3 linked regions of the Ovis aries genome follow. The protein of the gene in region 3 binds, or shares a complex with, the protein of the main gene of each other region. Links are inferred from orthologs where the notes say so. Each region holds a gene or a part of one and is shown on either strand. Other genes may lie near its edges.

Region 1 (3,076 bases), on a different chromosome or scaffold from region 3:
CTGGAGGTGTCGGTCTAAACCTGACTGGAGGAAACCATCTTTTTCTTCTGGACATGCACTGGTAACAATTATGGGTTTTTCTTGAGTTGTCCCTGCATCGCAGGGAGACCAGAGGGGCAGTAAAACCTGACCTCATATGAGTGTGTTCCTTTCGTATTGTGGAGGTGCCTCTGTGCATACGTGTGTACAGATACAGATCAAAATGGTGTAGGCTGAGTTGATGGCCCTGTATTCCTGACCAAGGAAGGATTCAAATGACTGTTTAAAATAGTTTCTTCACTTTATTGTTAACCTGATGTCTGTTTCCATGGAAACTGGGAGTAGGGCTTTTTCTCATGGCTAAGAGCTACTTCACTCAACGAAGAGTTTTCTCTCTTCAAAACACCGTATCTCAGACATACTTGTTGAAGTCCAAGGAAATCTCAGCATTGGCAAAGAATGAGAACCATTACTCCTAAAGGAAAAGGCAAAGAAATTTTCTAATTATGTTAGATACATGCTTAACACGTAGCCTTGGACTCACCACTCATAGTGTCAACACCAGGAGCATAGCAGCGTCCTTCTTAGGTACGAAGCAAATGATTCGTGTGTTGCTAGGAGAAAGTATCATAATCTGTCCCAGTTTTGCTTTTTCAATGATGCCAGTTAGGGATTGCTGCTCCAGGCACCGTTGCCAGGGATTGTCATTTGTTCTCCAGGCAGCCAGATGGGCACAGACAGGCCCACCTGTTGCTGTCTTCCTGGAGAATGTGTTTAGGTCTTACTTGGGACCCCTCCCACCCCCATACATGAGGAAAGCAGAATTGGAATCATGCTGGCTTCTGAATTGGAGAAATGTTATTCAAGTTTTTAAAGAGGTGAGATGAGAAACTAGTTTGGAATTGAAAAGGAGAATCTAGAAAGAAGGAAACAAATTAAGTCTCCTTATTTGAATCATAGAAAGTTAAAAGTTGAAGAAGGCGTTAGAGAGGACTTTCCTGATGGTCCAGTAGTTAAAAGATTTTGTCTTCCATCGCAGGGGGTGTGGGTTCAATCCCTGTTTGGGGAGCTAAGATCCCATAAGCCTTGCAGCTAAAAAACCAAAACATAAAGCAAACGGTATTGTAGTAAGTTCAATATAGACTTTAAAAGTGGTCCACAGTTAAAAAAAATCTTAAAAAAGATAAAGGCATTAATGATCATTTGCCAGCCCTCTGATTCCCAAGCCTTTTAGGTTATGGTTAGATGACTTGCCCAGAGTCATCCAGCTAGTTAATGATTGGATTTGAGCATCACTTTAGCCTCTGTTACCTATAGTTTTCAGCTGATGGTGGTGCTAAGAGTTCCTGTTGGAGGCAGATCTGAGCCCAGTTTCTCATGAGAGGGGAGGAAGACATCTGGGAGTCTCCAAGCCCCGCATACGCTAGAACAGAGATCTACCAACTTTTTCTATAAATATTTTAGGCTTTGCAGATACATAGGTCTCTGTCACATATTCTTTTTTGTGGATTTTGGTTTTAATTTTTTTTTTTTTTTTACAAACCTTTAAAAATGTAACAACTATTTCAAACTCAAGAGCCATACAGAGACAGATTACAGGCTGGATTTGGCCTGTGGGATTTGCCTGCCCCTTGTTGAGGATATCAGTTCCCCTGAGTTCAAAACCTGTCTTCTCACAGGAATCCATCACTTGAAGATCAAGCTTGTGACCGAATCTACCGAGTAGGGCAGCAAAAAGATGTCGTCATACATAAGTAAGTATGTAAAGGTCTCCTGGGGCCAGGATCTGCTCCTGTGAAAATCTTTCTTAGTAGTGTTTTAACAGAATGTAAAGTATTTGGTGGTCACTGTACTGATGGTTTTTGTGGGGCTCATCCTCCTTGGCACTCATGGTCAGGAAGGGAACACTAGCAATTTGAGGGTAACCTTGGAGCTGGTCCCTGCAGAAGAAAACTTAAGTACAATGATGAGCCTTATCTCAGTCAAGGCTGCCCATGAAAGGACCCTCCTCTCTCTCTTTCTCTCTCTTTCTTTCGCTTTTATTTCGACATAACTTCAGACATAGAAAAGAATGTAGGAATTCTTACAAAAATATCCCAGAGTTCTCGATTGTAAGAATAATACCAAAAGATTCCTGACTGCTGTGACATTTGTGTGTGTGTGTGTAAGCTTTTTTCTGGACCATTTGACAGTAAGTTGCAGACATGATGTTCCTTTACCTCTAAATACTAAAATAGGCACTTTCTAAAAATGACATCTCTTACATAATCACAATAAAGTTATCAAAACCAGGATGTTAACAATGATATAATACTATCATCTGATCTATGGACCTTATTCAATTTTGCCACTTGTTCCAGTGATGTCCTTCCCACAAAAGATCCTGCATAGCATTCAGTTCTTCTCACTCTCTTGTCCCCTTTAATCTGGAACAACACTTGGTCTTTCTTTGTGTTTTATGACCGTGACATTTTTAAAGTGCACAGGACAGTTATTTTGAATGTCCCTCTACGTGAGACCCTCCTCTTTTTAAAAACAATGATAGAACCTGCCTTAACAGTGCAATCCAGCCCAGTTATGGACTGCTTTCCTTCATCTTCATGGCCAAGTTTCTTGAAGAATTAGAAATCATTGTCTCTCTTTACTTATTTCCCATTCATTCCTCAGCCTGTATGAACTGGCTTTCACCCCTGTCACGTCACTGAAGCCGCTCTTGCTAACGGGACCAATGAATTCCAAAATGTGCCAAGTACAGCAATTGTGTCCGTTGTTCGGTCTTTAGCTCTCTTCTCAGCTTGCTTTGTATGCACCTCTCTCAATAATCCTATCTACTCCAGCAAGTCCAAAATCTATACCATCAGTTCCAAGGTCTCCTCACCTTCAGGCCCAGATATCCAAATTCCCACAAAATGTATGAATCGGTGTCCACATCCACACCCATTATTCATCTACTCATGGATTTATCTCATTCATCTCAAAAAAATGAATACCTATTAGGCTTCCCAGGTGGCTTAGTGGTAAAGAACTCTCCTGCAATGCAGGAGACCTGGGTTTGATTCCTGGGTTGGGAAGATTCCCTGAAGAAGGTAATGGCAAC
Region 2 (2,966 bases), on a different chromosome or scaffold from region 3:
GATTTCTGGAACAGGATCTCTAGTCTTTCTTGCCATACTGTGTACCACCTGTTACTGCCACAGTGGAGCATCTGGCAGATTCTGTTCTTGGTGTCGGTGTTTACGGTCTAGACTACTGGCTGTGTCCTATCCACCAAGGTTGATACTGAGCAAATGAAAGTTTGAACGTTATATAAATTTCTTTAAAAAGCAGATAGTACATTACAGGGTGAAATCTGTTGGGTTTATAAAACATTCTGAAGCTCACAGCTGCAGGCAGCACTGCCAGTGAGGATAGAAACTCAGTGAGCCTCTGACTGTCTTTGTAAGTGGTGAGGCAGATGGCATCTGTCCTGCACACACAGCATCTGGCCAGTCCTGGACGCCTACTAATTGACCTTTAAATGTCTGTAAACTTTTAAAATGCATTTGCTGCCTATGAACCTGCCCCTTTGGACTCTGCTGGTTTCTATTTGTAAGTGAACTGCATGCTGAAAGGTTCTTTAGGGCTACGGTCAGTGTGAGAAGAATGGTGCCTTCAGCTACTGATCTGAGTGTAGAGTTTCTTCTGGTGAACTAAGTACATTAACTAGAAGAGAATATAAAAATTATAAATAACTATATAAATCACAAGATTGATGTCTCTTTTTACAGGGCTGTGAACAACTCAAATTATGGTTGGAGAGCCCTAAGACTGTTAGCACGGAGAAGCCCTCACTTCTTCCAGCCAACCAACCAGCAGTTTAAAAGTTTGCCAGAATATCTCGAAAACATGGTAATAAAGCTAGCCAAGGAATTACCAGTAAGTAGGAGTGATGAGTGTTTTATCCTTCAGTTGGTGTTCTCTTCTTTTGTAAAACTACTGTTGCTGTTTGAGCTAAGAGCTGAATTTCACTTTGATCATGTGGAAAAAATATGATCCACAAACCCCGTTGTTTCAGAATGAGGAAATGCCTTTGAGTATTCATTTATAGGAAGTATCAATACATAAACTGGTGAAGTAACTTCACGTGCTGTATTAAGTTGTTATACTTTGGTTACTCTTCCTGTTGGTCAATGCATCCTACTTTATCACAGGCAGGGCCCATGGGGTGGGGGTAGGCAACTTGGTCTATCTTCCTACTCTGTTCTCTTTTCTAATACAATATGGCAATAACTATACTGTATGCAAGCAACCAACAGTTACTCAGAGCATGTTGTCAAGCACATGGTTGGTCCCCGGTCTGCCCTAGATTGTTGTTACCACGTATGTGCTGGGCACGTGCAAGTCATCGCACCAGGCTTCCTACTGGCTCCCTTCTTCCCAGGCTGGGGTGAAGGGGGTCCTTCCAACCTCTGGTTGTCCCCGTCCTTCCTTCTCCAGGTTAACACTGTCCCACTGTGATCCTTACCTGATGTTCATGTTTAACATTTAACTGCAATCTCTTATCTAAGATCAAACTACCCGCACTTCTCTGATTTTAGAAGTTGGTACTCTAAGACATTCCTTTTACTCATTGTAGCCTCCTTCTGAAGAAATAAAAACAGGTGAGGATGAAGATGAGGAAGATAATGATGCTTTACTGAAGGAAAATGAAAGTAAGAATTGAATTTTCTTGGCTATTTTACAAAATTGGAAAAGATTGGGGTTCTTTGTTGAGAGGTACGTTATTTGATCTACTTCTCAACTTCTGTTTATCTCAGCTCTGTTTCTTATAGTGAGGAATCTAAAGCATTGCTTGATAACAACTTTTCCAATAGTGCATTTTATACAATAATATTAAGTGTTGGGAAGGAGAGCACTTACATTTGAATGCACCTCATACTTCTTAATTCTCGGGGTTCAGATTGGGGGCTGCTGGTTTCAGGGGAAACCTTCATGATTATAACACAGGCACCTTCATGATTATAACACAGGCAACAGCTTTAGTTTTACATCCCTAATGATCATAAGAATTCAACCAGGGGAAATATAAAAAGGAACTGTTCTACTTTTAAAATCAAGCTTACTGAAGTCTGAGTGGCCCCGTGTCCCATTATGGGCTTTGACTCATACACATCCTCGCATTTTGTTCGTAATTACTTCCCCTGTGTTTTCTAGGTCCTGATGTTCGTCGAGACAAACCTGTAACAGGGGACCAAATAGAGGTATTTGCCAACAAACTGGGTGAACAGTGGAAGGTCCTGGCTCCTTACTTGGAAATGAAAGACTCAGAAATTAGACAGATCGAGTGCGACAGCGAAGACATGAAGATGAGAGCCAAACAGCTGCTCGTGGCCTGGCAGGACCAAGAGGGAGTGCACGCAACGCCCGAGAACCTGATCAACGCGCTCAACAAGTCTGGGCTAAGTGACCTTGCAGAAAGTCTAACTAATGACAATGAGACAAACAGTTAGCTTCGTCCTTTTATTATTATTATTAAAACTGTGATAAGGTTTTGTTACCAAGCAGCATTTGATAAGAGGTCCACTGGTTTTGGTAAACAATAAACATTTTTATAACAGTTGTACAGTTGGCTGGTGCTCCACGAACAACAGAATGTTTGTTGGCTCTTGATGACTGACCTCAGGGTTTAGGGGGAGAAGTTGGGGAAATGGCCAGAATATTTTTGTTAATTATATATGTGTAAGTCAGTTAGCAATGTTCAGGGGCATGGTGTTCCCTGAATGCCATGAAGTTACAGAATTTAACTTGCTGAGAATCCCGCAATACTACTTTCTGAATCTGCATGACTGCTCTAGTCTCATATATGCTTTAAAGCAGAGGATCAGCAAACAGTGGTCCATTTGCCACCTCTTTCTATAAGTAAAGTGTTTACGGCACAGCCACACTGATCCTTACTTAAGTCCTTCCTACCTATGGACTCCTTTCATGCTACAAAGGTACCTACAAAGCTTAAAACGTATGAAAATATCTGGCCCACTACAGAAAAATGTGCCAACCCCCAAGCTTAAAAGAAAAGGGGTGAAGTATAAAACCTAATTCTTTTAGCCTTACAGGACTTAGG
Region 3 (4,236 bases):
TTAAATGAACTCTGTGATGATAGGGCTGTTCATTGCTATGTACCCAGATCTTAGGCTAGCACTTGACGCAGGACTGGCAGTTGATAAATGCTATTGAAAAAAAGATATTGTGTGTTGGAAAAACTGCCCTTCTGTAACATCATCCTTGAATCACTGTTATTTCTTTTGGCCACAGAAAACGAGCCTTGAACCAGTGAGGTTATCTATAGGGTATTTATTAAGCACTCTTTAATCAGGGAGACAGGATACAGTAGAGAATAAAGTGGTGTCTCCATTCTGGCTCTGTCACCTTGCTAGCTGTATTACTTTGGACATGTTTATTTCTTTGAATCTGTTTGCTTGATATAGAATGGGAATAATGGTACACCTTGGTGTTAAATGGTTAAGTGATAATAGGTAAAAGGTCAAACGTTTGTTATCAGTTTTGTTAAGTCACATTTGACTTCTGTAGCATATAAAAGTGAGGCGGGAGATATCAAATGTTTCATTCAGGAAAAATATCCAGGATGAACCAAGGGAGGGGTTATTGGGTAAAGGGTTAAGCACATTCTGGTTGAAATAACATTTATTAAAATGTTACGTAACACTCAGGTTTCCCTGGTGGCTCAGTAGGTAAAGAACCAGCCTGCAATGCAGGAGACCTGAGTTCAACCCCAGGGTGGAGAAGATCCCCTGGAAGAGGGCATGACAACCCACTCCAGTAGTCTTTCCTGGAGAATCCCATCGACAGAGGAGTCTGGTGGGTCTGACACGACTTAGCGACTAACCCACCACCATGTAACCCTCATGCCCTAGTATTTATCGTTAACACTTGGGGCAGAATCTAGACCCCCAGTCCTGCAAGCAGTGGCTTCAGAACACCTTCCTAACTTACAGCCCAAGCCCACGGCCCTTAGGACATCAGATACATCAGCCAACCATTACTTTGGGTAAATGCCGTTCCAAGGCTGGGGAAAAGGTAGGGGGTAGGTTCCGTGAGACCTATTCACTATCTACACCTGGGGCTGGCCATTCCCTAACTCCAGCGCCAGCGCCCCCAGGTCACCTTGACTACCGGGCCAAGGACCCCGTGGGAAATCGAAGTCCCGCCAGCTTGGGTCCTCCTGCGCCCAGAGGAGGGATGCCCAGAGAGAAGACCTGAATGGCAAGAATCTAAATGAAGAGAGAGGCGCGGAAAAGAACTGGACACGCGGAAAAAAGATAACAATGGGAAGGATTATAGTTTCCTTGATGCATTTTGTTACTGGTAGTAGCAAAAGGGTAAGAAGTGGCTTAAAAATTTTTTTTTCACGCAGGCATTTTCTAAAGGCAACCCTAGAACGAGCAGAACTACACAACCGTAGAAGGCCCGTCTTCCGGTTCTTTGCGCCTGCGCGCTCGCATCAGCGAAGGCGGGAGGCCGGGTGGAGGGAAAACCGGGAACCGGAAGTGAAGGCAGATTCCCTTCTTCGTCGCTGTTGCCGCCGCCATACGTCTTTGCCTTGCTCAGGTAAGCTTTGGGCCTTCGGCACCATCCGCCTCCATCTGCGTTTCTCTGCGGCCATCCTGTCGCACGAGCTCCTGATAGCCCTTGCACAGGCCATGATCTGGTTGTTGGAGTCTGATTGGGTCGTTAGTTCCATCGCTTGCATCTTTTTCGAGATGAAGAAACTTTGGGGGGGAGGTAGGGAAGCTAGGGGGGCCCAATCCAAGATGGTGGCCCCGGCGCCATTGTGTTTTCTTTGCTTCTCGCTCCTTCGGTGGCCCCCCTCGATTACTCGAGGCCCCAGTGACATTGAGAGGCGGCGCCAGGCGTCCTCTGGTCCTGGGTATTTGCGGAGGGCGGGGTCTTCTCACTTTCCCGCTTATTTCTGGGTCCTCGGTCCGCGGCGGGAATAGGAAGAGGAGCCGGCTTCTAGGCCTACCTGGACGTTTCTCGGCCCGGTTTGCCCACCGTTATTTGGAGCATTTCCTAAATGTTTACGAGTGGTGTCATTGTGTGTTTTTCGGAAACGAGCCATACCTAAGGAGTGATGGAGGAGTGGGTTTTTTTCTTCTGGCCGAGACATTCTTTAGCCCCCACCCTCCTCCGCCACCACCGCCGAAGGATTTTTTACGCGCGAGTGTGAGGTGTCTGAGGAGTGGGAGACTGGAGTGTTGGGAGAGGTGGATGGCAGCCATATGATGTTTCCATTTTGAAAAGTGAGCGCTTTGCTCAATGACGACCGTAAATCTATCACCCTTGACTGATGGCTGCTGTCCACACCTTGAGATTATCGGGAAAGCACAAGGTCTTTCGTTGAGGATTTTTCATTTTGTCACTTAACATTCTCCAGTCTTGTAAATTGTTAGTAGCAGTCTGTTTTTTATGTGTCTTTAATTTTTATCCTTACTGCTGTCCTGGAGCAGGAATTGAGAAGCTGGCCTGGCCTTCCTAGCTTTCCGGTTTCTGCTTCTCCGATCCTATCTTTTTGGGAACCTATGTCCTAATCGTCACTCCTGGGAAACACACTTTTCCCATTCCGTGTGTTATGTTTACCTTTTGTTTCTTTGTCTTGTGTTTTTTTGTTACTTTTTTTCCCCCTTTGTTACTTTTGTTTCCAGGTACATGTGTCGGTTTGGGGAAAGGAAGAGTGTGGGGATGGACGGGATAGATGGTGAAGGCTCTACTCATGACTGATGTCTTCTCCCTGTTTTTCCCCCCTCCCAGCTCTTCTGTCAGAAACTAGTGTGTTTCTTTTCCTCTTCTGTTCCTCAAGCCCCCACTCTCCTCCTCTTGTCTTCCTTTATTCTGCGCTAACCCATCCGGAGACCCTTCCCCTTTTCCTGCCGGCCCAGTTATGGCGGAGAACGATGTGGACAATGAGCTCTTGGATTATGAAGATGATGAGGTGGAGACGGCAGCTGGGGGAGATGGGGCTGAGGCCCCTGCCAAGAAGGATGTCAAGGGCTCCTATGTCTCCATCCACAGCTCTGGCTTTCGTGACTTCCTGCTCAAGCCAGAGTTGCTCCGGGCCATTGTTGACTGTGGCTTTGAGCATCCATCAGAAGGTAAATTTCCTGTTGGGCATGGAGTACTCATTGGTGCTTTAAGGATACAAGAAAACAGATAATAGCCATGGTCCCTTACAGTTTTATATATAGGATAGATCAGGAAATAAGTACCAGAACCTATTTCAGCAGTAGAAGATGTTTATATAGGTTTGTCTTTGTTCATGATAGTATGTAAGTGCTAGTGACTTCAAAGCAACTTAGAGTGGCTTTTCTCCTTGTCTCCTTGTTTTAAATTTTGTCTTTTAATTTAAAATTTCCAAAGAGGAGCTGGTTGGACCCTTGGATCAAATCACCTCTGGTCTCTGTAAACCTTTATGGCTGGTCTAAAGATAGCTGTCTTTTGGGTCAAGTACTAAGTTCTTCCCTGGTGGCTCAGACGGTAAAGCGTCTGCCTGCAATTTGGGAGACTGGGTTCAATCCCTGAGTCGGGAAAATCCCCTGGAGAAGGAAGTAGCGACCCACTCCAGTACTCTTGCCTGGAAGATCCCATGAACGGAGGAGCCTGGCAGTCTATAGTCCACGGGGTCACAGTCGGAGAGATGACTGAGCAACTTCACTTTCACCGGGTTCTTCATTTTGCCCAAGGTTGCAGAGTTATGTCACCCAAAGCATGACAATCTAAGTAGGAGAAGTAGCCTGTGACAGGCCCTCAAAAGTCATGGATTGTTACAGATTAAGGAGCATTGGGACAGAGGAGCACCTAAGATGACCGATTGGTAGATGCCCAGAGGGTTGATGGCAGGACTTTGGGCCCTGGAGTTAGAAGAGGCTGATACTAGAAGAAACTGGGACGGTCTTGATTTGGGAATCACTTTGAGGGACTTCCCTGGTGGCTCAGACGGTAAAGCGTCTGCCTACAGTGCGTGAGACCTGGGTTTGATCCCTGGGTCAGGAAGATCCTCTGGAAAAGGAAATGGCAACCCACTCCAGTATTCTTGCCGGGGAAAGCCCATGGACAGAGGAGTGTGGTAGGCTGCAGTCCATGGGGTCACAAAGAGTTGGACACGACTGAGCGACTTCACTTTCACTTTGATTGAGAGAGCAGAGAGAGGGTATAGAAATTGACAAGAATTACTTAAGAATTGAGTGGTGAGAAATGGGTTTGGCCTGGTGCAAAAATGTGGTGGAGTTCTCTGGAGATTGGAGTCTAATTTACCTTTTCTTCCCTATTTCTAGTCCAGCATGAGTGCATCCCTCAAGCCA

Evidence for each region. The genes of interacting proteins can lie anywhere in the genome.
Region 1: DDX39B (region 3) and TTF2 share a complex: the UniProt entries of both Homo sapiens proteins name them as parts of the spliceosome. The link is inferred for Ovis aries from reciprocal best matches to the Homo sapiens genes DDX39B and TTF2.
Region 2: DDX39B (region 3) and THOC1 share a complex: the UniProt entries of both Homo sapiens proteins name them as parts of the transcription/export (TREX) complex. The link is inferred for Ovis aries from reciprocal best matches to the Homo sapiens genes DDX39B and THOC1.

What each region holds. Positions count from the first base shown.
Region 1 is NC_056054.1:94,512,640-94,515,715, forward strand, and holds part of TTF2 (transcription termination factor 2), read left to right. Parts: coding exon 1-61; intron 62-1,658; coding exon 1,659-1,733; intron 1,734-3,076. UniProt on the Homo sapiens protein: DsDNA-dependent ATPase which acts as a transcription termination factor by coupling ATP hydrolysis with removal of RNA polymerase II from the DNA template. May contribute to mitotic transcription repression. May also be involved in pre-mRNA splicing.
Region 2 is NC_056076.1:35,627,473-35,630,438, reverse strand, and holds the end of THOC1 (THO complex subunit 1), read left to right. Parts: intron 1-633; coding exon 634-781; intron 782-1,481; coding exon 1,482-1,557; intron 1,558-2,059; coding exon 2,060-2,355; 3' UTR 2,356-2,466; downstream 2,467-2,966. UniProt on the Homo sapiens protein: Component of the THO subcomplex of the TREX complex which is thought to couple mRNA transcription, processing and nuclear export, and which specifically associates with spliced mRNA and not with unspliced pre-mRNA.
Region 3 is NC_056073.1:26,828,457-26,832,692, forward strand, and holds the start of DDX39B (spliceosome RNA helicase DDX39B), read left to right. Parts: upstream 1-1,436; 5' UTR 1,437-1,663; exon of another isoform or gene 1,664-2,326; intron 2,327-2,689; 5' UTR 2,690-2,819; coding exon 2,820-3,030; intron 3,031-4,209; coding exon 4,210-4,236. UniProt on the Homo sapiens protein: Involved in nuclear export of spliced and unspliced mRNA. Component of the TREX complex which is thought to couple mRNA transcription, processing and nuclear export, and specifically associates with spliced mRNA and not with unspliced pre-mRNA.